Linked DNA regions of Drosophila melanogaster. The protein of the gene in region 3 binds, or shares a complex with, the protein of the main gene of each other region. Each region holds a gene or a part of one and is shown on either strand. Other genes may lie near its edges. The genes, in order: Wdr59, Nprl3 and mio.

Region 1 (3,755 bases), 8.9 Mb from region 3:
TATGGCATCTAGTGTGTCTACCTCCACATGAGGCATGTTTGTGTTGAGCAGCGAGAATTCGTGGTGCAGCGAACACGTGGGTTGATCTGTTAGTGATCTGGCTATGTGGGGCTCTTCCCTGCGATAGTAGCCACCTCCAAAGCTCGGGGAGCGAGCCATGGGCAAGGTATTACAAGCACCGTCACCCGTGGATATGGGCAACGAAGCGGCAACCAAAATTGATCGTGGATGCAGGAATTCTGGAGGAGTAGGCACTCTTAACTCACTGAGATCGGGCTCGAAACGGGATTCTATTTCTTCCGCAGACGGTTCGCAAAGCTTTAGCATATTATCATCGATCTTCCACACCCGCAGCGTGCGATCCCTGGACCAAGTGACCAGTTCCTAATTAAAGCTCAATGCATAAGTAAGAACATTGTGGTATCTTTAAAATACTTACTATTTCATTGGAACTTTCACGATTTGGACGCCAGGCAAAGTCAAGAATGACATCGGTGTGCCCCACGAAGGAACAAATAGGGTCCGTTTGCTTGCTGTTGCTCCAGAGCAGCAAACTATTCTCTCCGCGTCCCAAATGGGGCACCACAATGCTAACCAGACCGTTGCCAATAGGCTGTATGGAACAAGATGTATTTAGAATAGCAATCAATATTGATAAACCAATATAAATTACCGTGTATCTCGCTCTCCAAACGGGCGACATGGTTGTAATGATCTTCTCGGCCCTGCGAGGATTACATACATCAAAGTACTTGACCGTTCCATCCTGACTGGCGGTTGCCAAGCAGGTCTCCCTTTTGTGGCTCCAATTGATGCCATGCACTCTATTTAAATGTGCTGTGATATAGTGCGTCGGGCAACTACCCTTGCGAATATCCCAGATGCGTAAATCTCCATCATGGGCAGCAGCCAAAAGGTTGCCCGAAACGCGGTTGAATCCCACTTGTGTAGCACCAGCTGAAAGAATTTTAAATATAATATAAAAAAGTTGAAATTATTTTGTAGAAACTTACACATGCACACGGCATTCAAGGACAGGGCTGGTTTCCTGGGCTCCCTTAAGTCCCAAATATGAGAAAATGTGTCTATTGAGCAGCTGACCAGCAGATTCGGATCCTTGCCGTGCCAGTCAATGTCGGTCACTGTTCGAGTATGCCCACGCAAGGACATCTCGTAGTGTGGTTCCGCAGTGCCCCAGCGAACGATGTCTATGTGCTGGCTAGTCTGAAATTCAAAGGTCAAACTGGGATAAACGCCGCCTATACGTAGATAACTTTATGTATTTACCGCTATGGCGCAGTACTCTTTGCGACTGGGACATATGGCAAACTCTGCTACGGACACCTCGTACTTCGATTGCCGTTCATGTCGTCGCAGAGACCCATCGTCCTGTCCCAAACGCTGCAAAGCCAGGTGACCACGGCCCGCGAGGAGCACCCACTGACCCGAGTAATCAACCGACATGGCCGTGGCCTGGGAATCTCGGTGTTCATAGTATTTGTTGCTCTGCCTGACGATGTACGTTTGTTCGGGTGCTCCTGCTCCCGGTCCACCGGCTGTTCCGCGTTCTCCCGGACGCAGTGTCTCCGTGGGCGGCATATTGTCCTACTCTAATAAGTGCTCAAAAAGCAAAAGACTGCGAATTTAAACCATTTTTGCAACAAACAAAAATTAAACGAAGAAACTGAACTGATAAGAACGATAGACAATAACAACAGGCGTCTGTGTTGGCAATTAAGCATTTTTTCCGACAAATGAATTTCCAGGACCTCGTTAAGCTGGCTATTTTTCAATAATGCTGTTGCTATAGTTTTTGATAATATATTAAAAAAATTACAAAATTAAACTAGAACATTATATGAAAAAATTGTACCTAATATTTTGTCGCAAAAGTTTGTAACACCCATAAATCTAGCTGGAATAACGACAGCACAACTATAGCTGAAAATGTTGTTTTTTCGATAGTATCGATAAAATTGTGGTTATAGCTATCGGGATTTGAATTTATGATATAAAACAGGTAAACGAGCTCAGAGCAAAATTTATAATTTTATATATATGGTCTTGTTAAATAAAAACGTTCGATTTTTTTTATAGATTTATTACATTTTATAAATTGTCAATCACCAAAAATATACATGTGCATTGGTTCATAAATGTTATGAAAATTATTAAAGTACGTGGCTAAATATAATTTAGCATCTAAATAAATTTGTAACTAGAAAGGGATATTCCCAATTGACTCATTTATAAAAAGTTCATCCTATTATTCATTTATTAACTCAGCATAAGGCTATAAATCATGAGATACTAAACAAAAAGTGCATTATATATGTATATAACAACTCAATTATGGTCTACAACATTAAGTGCTACATATTTTGGATACTATTATTTATTTATATGTTCGCCACTTCCCTCCCTAGTCAGTAATAGCTTATCATTTATTTTACATACACAAAGTAATTCTGCGGTTATTACGATTATTAGTTCATTCAGTTTATTGTCCTCTAAGTTAGTGGGAAATAAACAAATTCCGCTCAACTACCGTGACTACATAGGTGCCTAAGACTGGGAACTCCTTACGGCAAAGGCTAAAATTGGATAAGTATTTTTATACAAACATTGGCTATTTCATAGAAATAAACTAGGTTTTATGGCTAAGGCTACGTTAATGGGTTTCAAGTCTTTGACGTCAAACACATCCTCCCCATCCCCGAAAGCTCCCAGTTACATTGCCATTGCCTTATCTGTGGCAATAGCAGAACATTTTTAGCGCCGGATCGTTGAGACAGTAGCTCTGGCTTCCGTACAGATTCAGACGACTAATGGTGCCCGTTAGTACGGTCGTATAGCCCGTCATCCGCACCGTGGACTCAAACACACCCAGCCCGGGCTTCGTCTGCAGTCGCAGGGTGATGTCCACTGCGTAGTCCGTGGAAATGTTCTTCACAATCTTCGAGTGCGGCGCTGCAATCAGAGCCTGGAGTATGGAGTTCAGGTATAGGGTTCTGCACTGTGAGCTATCCTTCAGTCGGTTATTGATCAAGCGTACCAGATAGCGCGCCGCCCGCTGGACACGTGGATCGTTTGTCTGCAGCTCCTGGCGCTGATGGCAGGTGCACCAGTGGGCGGCAATCCCTGCCTGCTCGCAGGTCCGAGCAGCCGGGATGGGCAGGAATAGGCTAATGCCTCTGGGCAGCGTGCTATCCGGCTCGTCCATCTCTGTTGATCTGCGTTGCAACTGATCTGCCTCCAGATTGTGAAGATTTAGCAGCTGCAACATTGTCGCGTGCACATCAAATGGTGTGGTTAGCCGGCGGGCATTTAACCTAAGATTGGCAATTGCCTCCGGATAACGCTCGGTCATCCATGGCGGATACAAAAGCATCATTAGGGGCTGGCGCTCCTCCATCATGCCCTGGTAGGTACGACGAAAGGAACCCCATCTCAGTCCGTGATCGGATAGCAACATTACCACCGTGCGATTGAGCAATCCGGAATCTTGCAGCTGCATCAACTGTTGCAACATGGCCTCATCCAGTAGTGAGGGGAAATTAAAATAGTCATGGGTTAGGGCCACCGTCCAAAAAAATGAAAAGTAAAGATCCCTGCTCATTCGTGGCACCAATTTCTTCATATACTCGAGCAGCACATCCGCCGTCCTCCGGCTGCCCATGCACAAGTGCATGTTGAGGTCCTTCTTGAAGGCCACAGTCTTTTCCATTTCCATAATCATGGGTCGCAGATAATAA
Region 2 (3,755 bases), on a different chromosome or scaffold from region 3:
AATTGGACTTGTGGCTGGATGATGGCTGCACGGCGATGTTGTCCGAGGCCAGTGATGAATGGTCCTCGGACGCCTCACGACGATGTCCGCCCACCAATACCGCTGGCACTGGCAACGGATGACTGGACATGCTAAGCATGGAGCCATGCAACTCGTCCGCATCTGGTTCTTGGTCTCCTTCTTCATCGCTAATGGCATCCCTTAGATGGTTGCTGCAGGAGGCCGAATCTCCGAATTCATCCTCGCTGGGCATAAACTGAACGTACGTGTGCAACTGCATGAGCAAATGGTGCTGCAGCATCCAAATCACCATTTGTGCGAGGATACCCTGTCGCGCTGGCTGCTGCAGTGGCGTGGTTAAGTGTCCAATTGAAGTGGGCAATGAAAAATCGGAGATCACCTCGAACAGCGACATACCGGCAAAACGGGCCGAGAACTTCTCCACCAGGTGGGACTTGGTGTGCAATGGTGCATCCGGCGCGATCACATAGACATTTGTCTCGCAGAGTGGATAAATAATAGTTGCCTTAGCCCAGTAGACCAAATGCGAGACGAGCTTATAAACATGCTCGATACTCAAGTCTGCATTGGAGGACATGCTCTGCAGACTGATCAGTGGGTCGTAGACGTCGACTAGCTGCCATAGCATGCGTGCCCCAGTCGGTGGAACGCAGTCCAACAATTCGGCAAAGTCGACCAGCAGCAACATGCCATGATAGGGCTTCAGTGCACGAAGGCACCGATCTATGGTCTCTGGATCCACCATGCTGCCCTTCTTATGGAGCTGGTGTGCCTTAGCGGGCAGACAGAAGCACAACGTTAGGTTGTGATTCAGCGAGGTACTCAGCAGTCCAGTGGTGCATAGATCATGGAAGATGGAGCGCAAGGCCTGTGCCAAGCTGCAGCGCTCTGCAATCAGCTCCAGTGTGCGTTCCAGCGGCTGTTGCTGCTGCTCGTCGTGTGTGCGAGCCATTTGAGCCGTCTGCTCGGTGAGATAGCCACTGCGCTGCTCCTCGAACTTCAGCGCCAGTCCAAGGCGCTTGCTCAGTTCGTGGTAGCACTTAACAATCGAGTAGCTGGCCTGTGCATGCAGCGCAAAAACAATGTTGATGAGCATCTGTTGCTTGGCCATTGGACCACTTCTCTGCTCCTTTTGCGGTATCAGAGTGGGATGACTGACAAAGCGTACGTCGTTCAGTTTGAGTTCAAACTTTTGGTTGCATAGCTGTGGTTTAACAGCAAACAGAGCGGACAGGACCTCATCTGCGAATCCCTGCAGTTGTCCTTGGCTCTTGGCAGCACCCAAGTGGGTGGGTGTCTGCAGCAGATCGTCCGTATTGGCCACGGCATAGGGATTGCGCTTTCTGTGATTGAATAAATCGGTATAGTCAAGCTGAGTGCCCTTTGAATTAATAGGTAGTACCTGGACTTCCGCTGCTCGTCGTTGGCCACCTCCGTTTGGCCGAGAGTCTGGTACGGATACCTGTACAGTAACCGATCCCCCTTGCTATCGAAGTAAACCAGGATTACGGCCAGGGGATTCACATTAGTTTCCATGGCACACAGACACTTCCCCTTTTATGTAAATTAAAATATGAACATTTGCATTATCAACTGGGGTCAGGGTCAACAAATAGTTGGCTATGTTTTCAAAAATACTTTATAAATCGTAGTTTGCTACAGAAACTACCTCAACAACTCTTTATTTATTTATTAGTACCTCAATTTGACTTCATTGAGAAATGGAAGCAAAGTAAATAAATGTAAAATATAAAATATATTTACAGCAGTGTGGCTCTCTTTTAGTTTGCATAAAATACCAAAAACTTATTTAAAATAGTAGTCATGTCAGTTTTCATTTTGCAGGCGAAACAATAATATAAATGCAACGCAATGGAATTTTTTTAAATCGTTTAAATTTACCATAGATACCTTAGATAATATATTCAAAAACTAAAAAATACTAAACGAAAAACGGTCTTACTATATAAATAAATATATATCGGCAAGGCTAATAGTATAGGATCCCTGGTCGAGCGATAACGATCTATCGCTCCGCTGTAGTGTGACCGTCTTCGGTTGGTCAGTCTCTAATTTTTTAGAAGCGGAAAGTTGTGAGCAAAACGTGTGGAAATTGTGCTCGAAACGTCAACAAAAAATTTGTGAAAATAACTGGGAGCGTAGTATGCGAACGCGGCAATCGCAGAACTATGAAATTCCCCTGTGAAACATGTTAGTTTGGCTGTAAAAGCACTTTTAAAAATGACGATTTCTTATTAGCGTGTTGGAAAAGAGGAAAACACACACATTGTGAGAGGCAAAATACGTGCGGATCGTAGGTGGGAGCGAGACGACGCTAAACGTGTACTAGCCGCGGTCTATATATACATATATATAATATTTGTGTGAGTGTAGGAGAGGTATAACTAATTCTACAAAAAAATATAGTTTACTTGGCTGAGTGGTTCGCTTCTGAATTAGTTTCGCACTCTTCGGCAGTATGGTGGCCAATAAGTTAATTTCAACTAATTGTCATTTACTTGTAGGTTTGTTTTTCTACTATGTCTTCGTTTCTGTATCTATTCCTTGTATTTTGGAAAATAGGATTAATAAGTGCCTAAAATGTAAATAGCTTGTGGTTAAATAGTTAATAACATAACTATTTTACTTTTTGTGTATATGTGCGCCAACATCCGTGTGTATAGATTTTACACATACCTACGTAGAAAGGCATGCACAGATATACGTTTGTGTGGGTATCAACGAATAGGCGGAAAGGCGAAATCGAAATATGTACGTACAGCATTTCGGAATGGCCAGGCGCAGTAGTAATAGGCTAAACAGGGAAACAGCGCAACACAAAAACCAAGAAGAAGAAGCAGGGCAGGCGAACAAAATAAAATAGGCGATAATAGTCAGTTGGCATGTCTTGTCCATAGGCTAGAACGGTCACACTAGCTATATGGTCTGCTCAAACCGACTGGTCGTCTCGCTCTTACACACGTCTTAAGCAATCCCAGTTTATGTGTTTTCCTGCGCGTTTTGTCTTCTGCTTCTTGTGCCATACGGTATTAATAATAATAAAATTGATTAATCAAAGTAGAAACATTTTAATTTGTGCAGGTAGTAAACGTTCGAAACAACGTCGCGCCATCACTTAAATGCTGCAAATCAACAATGTGCAACGGAACAAAAAAGAACCAGTGTTAAAGTGTATACAAATTTAATTTGTATTTATAAAATTGAAATATAAAGTTTCGAAATAAAAAATAAACCACGTAGCTTGTCGTTAAATTAAATTAAGTTGTGCAAAATGAAGTGAAAATTCAAAATAACAGAGTAAACGGTGAGTAAAACTAGTGTGTGTGTTTGTATGTGAGTGCGCGCCCAAATCGGAAATATTTTGAATCGAAAAATATACAGTCGAATGGGTTATACATATCTATTGGATCACATATATATGAAATTCAGATTTTATTTTGAGTCGAGCCAGTTAAATAAATATTTCATTTGTTGATGCGTCGATTTTGTATGGTTTTTTTTTTTGCATACTGTGTGTCGCCATATTTGATTGCATATTCTTTTTTCAACTAACCGTCAGTATAGCGTGCTCGCTCGCACAGCTTTGCGGGTTCATTTGTTTTGCTTTCGATTCCGTTTTGTGCAACGTGAAGGTAGATGTGCGTATTATGCCCCTCGCACAGAGTTGCCAACCCGAAGCAATTGTTTTGTTAAATTTCAAGTTGTTTTTAGTT
Region 3 (3,755 bases):
GGAGTTCGCCGAATCGCTTGTTATCGGGTTTGATGCCGTAATCCTCTAGAGCGCGCTGACGCGTCTCGTCCACCAGATCCAGCTCAAAGAGTTCCGGTTTCAGCAGGTCCACATTGAAGGGCGAACCACCAGGAGTGCTAAAGTCCAGGGAACTCCCGCTATTCGTGCTGCAGCTGCTCGTGGGCTGCTGCTGAGTGGGCGTGGCCGCAGTGGAAGTCGGCGAGGCGGGTGTGTAGAGCGGACGCTGCATCAGAAGTGGCAATTTCCGGCGATTGCTGTGCGCCGTGTGCAAGGTGGCTGGCAGTCGAAAGTCCAGGATGTTCAGCGCATCTGCCAAAAGCAGAGCTCTCTCGAAATCCCTCGAATGCCACGACAGGCAATTAACAAACGAAAACTTTCCACTGTGCTGGTATCTAGCCGGAAAGGGGCTAATCTGTCGTTTTACGTGGTAGATCTCTCCGGAATTGTCCGTGTCCACACTCCGGATGTCGTAGAGAGTGATGTAGGAGGAATCGCGTTGCAGCGAGGAAAGCAGGCTTGTCCTGGTCGGACACCAAGCGATCTGCAAATGGTTTTTCGAGGACTGAATCTGCCTGAGGGGACTCTTGATATTTCGCGGATCCCACAGAGTGATCACCGAGTCCACATAGCTGCAGAGATAGTTGCCATTGGGGGATACGGAAAGTCCCTGCACTGTCTTTGTTTGAATGCTTTGACAGGTGGCGTTACTCTCTGCGAAAGGGATTTAAAGATTTCATCAGTGAAAGGGCAATAAAGTAATACTACGTAGTTGAAATATAACCAGTCGCATTATGTGTACTCACGCCTCAGATCGAACAGCTTTATCATCTTCTGGCTCATTCCCGCAATGACCGTGCGATGATTTCGATCCCAGCAAATGGAGTTGGCCGACTCGCCGACGCCGAAGAAGTTGGCCGTCTCCTTGGGAACTCCACGCTCAATGTCCCAGATGGTGATGCAGGTGTCATTTCGATGGCGATCGTGTCCAATGGCCAGGATATTGGCATCCAGCTCGTTCCAGGCGAGGCAGGTGCACATGCGCTGCTGACGCGGTGCTACGAGAAATGAAGAACTATTAGATGCAGCTAAGAATCGGCGTTGTCGTCCACCCACTGTACTCCCAGCTGCTGTCGTAGGTGTCCCGGAAGTTGCAAATCCCGACTTTGCCATCCGCCAGACCCACTGCAATTATGGGCTGGTCACTGTGGTAGGAGGCGGCCACGCAGCGGGCATATTGATAGCGCGACTCGTTGGCGAGGTAGTTCACGGATATATAAGGCAGGCGACCTGCAAGGGGGGCGGTTAAGTAAAGTGGCATAATCCCTTGGGGAAAACCCTACTTTTTTGGCTGTGATCATCTTTGCGGCGCACTTCGTATAAATGGATTTCCTGGCCCCAGGATACGAATTTGTCGGGAAAATGTGGAAACCAGCTGAGTCCGTGTGTATTGCCGCTCATCGTGGCCGATTTTCCATCGATGTAAAAAAAAACAATTTTCACTACAGACTAAATTGCGTCGCGTTATCAGTTTGCAAAAACAAAAACGTGAGATAAACACTGCACTACATGGCAAGAAGAAGAGGCGCACACACACTAGCCGGTCGACCAGCTGTTGGCCGCATGTTAGCCAGCACTGGCCCAGTTCGATAATTCGTTTTATCGATAAGCTGGTAGGTGATTTTGTTTTCCTTTTTTTTTTGTAAGAAAGCAAACGTGTTTAATATTTACAACTCCCACTTAAAATGCTGCGCAAAACACCAAAACCTGCAATTTGGAAATTCATCAAAGGAAGTGCCAAAACACTGTTTGTCCTCGAGGCAGTCTGCTTCGCAGCCAGCTACGGCGTTTATTATCGCATGAACACGAATCGAGGTGGGAGGATATTTATATAATTATTTTGATCGTTAATAACAATCCGCTCCTAGAGTTTCGTCAGCATATTCACGAGAACTATCCCTTCGTTTTGGACTATTACTACAAAATTGGTGAAATCGTCGGAGACAGCACAGTGCGACAGGCGGATGCGAGTTATTGGAGTGCTTTGAAGAAAAGCGACTAGAGGAGACCGCTTCCAAAATGCTTAGTAATCCCTACTTTAAGTCCGTTTTGTGGCTGATTGGCTTCGGAGGAATGGGGTACGGCCTAATGGTGTTAACCGAGCCGAACGTCGACAAGTTAGAGCGCATCAAAGCCTCCGTTTCAAGTACCAAACTGAGTGCGGATGAGCAGCGAAAGGCTCTGTTTATGAAGAAGCTCCAGGAGGCGTCCACCACCAGTGCCCCAATCTACAGGTCATCGTCCGAGAAATAGGATAGTTAGGAAGCTTAATCGTCATCAATTTATCAATTTGTTATACTTTTTAAATACAAATGTTAAGCATTTAATCTTAATTGGTTGGGTAGGGTGATTCATTAGAAGAAAATTCGATTCGTACAAGAATGCGAAATAGGAAAAAGGAAATAAAATTACTAAATTGTTAATATTCACGTTTTAAATGTTTACAGAGCCCTTACTACTTCTGTTACTTTTAACATAATCTGTTAGGAATCTTGACCACCCCTACTCGCAGTGCTCGTAAACGTCCGATTCTTAACAGCGAATCTAATCTAAGCGCAATTGCATTTTAATGGTAATTTAATTGCCATTATTGACAGAGTTTATGGCAACGAAGACGCACACAATGTCCGCGGGGGATGTCCCCTTGGTGGCGATGGCCAAGGTTCCGCCGACCATTCAGTTTGAGGCCACAAAGAACTTTCACTCGCACACCGAGCAGAAGGAATTGGACAGTGCTTTCCTGGGCTACAATCGACGTCCTTGGGTTCGCCAAAAGGCTCACAGGGACACACGCCGGGAGAGGGAGATCCTCAACGGTCTACTGTGCTCTACCAGCGTGGAAACGGACTACGCCAGCACCTGTGTGGACAAACTTATTGCCGAGAACATTAACTATCTGGATTTGGCCTCTCTCACCGACGAAGATTTGGAACTCTTCGGGTTCAAGTGTCGAAAGCAACGGCAACAGCTCCTGGAGATGTTCGAAAAGATTCCCAACCAGAATCCCAGTTACGAATACATTTGCAACCATCCTGAAGCCGAAAACTACAACAATCAGATTCTGGGCAATGCTGGCAACCACTTTATGTCCCTGCGCGCTTCTTTAGCGGCCACCAACTACAAGCTGCAGGTCTCCACTCCCGAGGACGTCGTGGTGGGCGACAAACGATATGCCAGCTGCTTTGCCCAGGAAACTCTAAAAAGCGTGAATCAGATCACCGAAGAGATTGCCAAGGATCTCGCGAAAATCGAAGCTAATGCCCAGAACGCAAGGAGCCAGAAGAAAGTGCAGGGCAACGAGAGTCACAAGAAGGTGAATATAGCAAGCAATAAGAAATTATTTTCCTTTATACAAATTTGCATTGCAGAAGAAGTGGAGCCTGGCTACTATTTTGTATTACACCACCTTGGCTGTGGGATTTTCGTGCGCCTGGTTCTGGTGGTGGACCAAGTTCCGCAGCGCTCCCCGACTGGAGCGGATCTCCGTTCAGACTTAAAAAAAACGCACAACGATGCATTTAATAGTTACATTCCGATTTTCTCATAGGACCTAAGTTTATAGAATTTACTTATTACTTCTTTAAGCATTCGCTTAATCTAAAGCTGTAATGAAGTTTTACTGCCCAACATGAACATTTGATAGAAACCATATGTTGTATTAAGTTGAAAAATTGTTT

The links.
Region 1: mio (region 3) and Wdr59 share a complex: the UniProt entries of both Drosophila melanogaster proteins name them as parts of the GATOR complex.
Region 2: mio (region 3) and Nprl3 share a complex: the UniProt entries of both Drosophila melanogaster proteins name them as parts of the GATOR complex.

Annotation. Positions count from the first base shown.
Region 1 is NT_033779.5:11,089,411-11,093,165, reverse strand, and holds the start of Wdr59 (WD repeat domain 59), read right to left. Parts: upstream 1,723-3,755; 5' UTR 1,600-1,722; coding exon 1,288-1,599; intron 1,225-1,287; coding exon 1,014-1,224; intron 958-1,013; coding exon 674-957; intron 614-673; coding exon 440-613; intron 385-439; coding exon 1-384. Other genes in the region: CG16854 (uncharacterized protein), read right to left, coding at 2,747-3,755. UniProt on the Drosophila melanogaster protein: A component of the GATOR complex, which functions as a regulator of the amino acid-sensing branch of the mTORC1 signaling pathway.
Region 2 is NT_037436.4:14,000,070-14,003,824, forward strand, and holds the start of Nprl3 (nitrogen permease regulator-like 3), read right to left. Parts: upstream 1,812-3,755; 5' UTR 1,721-1,811; exon of another isoform or gene 1,576-1,720; 5' UTR 1,558-1,575; coding exon 1,424-1,557; intron 1,365-1,423; coding exon 1-1,364. UniProt on the Drosophila melanogaster protein: An essential component of the GATOR subcomplex GATOR1 which functions as an inhibitor of the amino acid-sensing branch of the TORC1 signaling pathway.
Region 3 is NT_033779.5:2,215,151-2,218,905, reverse strand, and holds the start of mio (missing oocyte), read right to left. Parts: upstream 1,617-3,755; 5' UTR 1,480-1,616; coding exon 1,362-1,479; intron 1,309-1,361; coding exon 1,135-1,308; intron 1,077-1,134; coding exon 825-1,076; intron 733-824; coding exon 1-732. Other genes in the region: CG42371 (uncharacterized protein), read left to right, coding at 1,764-1,893, 1,947-2,080; CG15386 (uncharacterized protein), read left to right, coding at 2,098-2,331; daed (daedalus), read left to right, coding at 2,681-3,391, 3,447-3,575. UniProt on the Drosophila melanogaster protein: An essential component of the GATOR subcomplex GATOR2 which functions as an activator of the amino acid-sensing branch of the mTORC1 signaling pathway.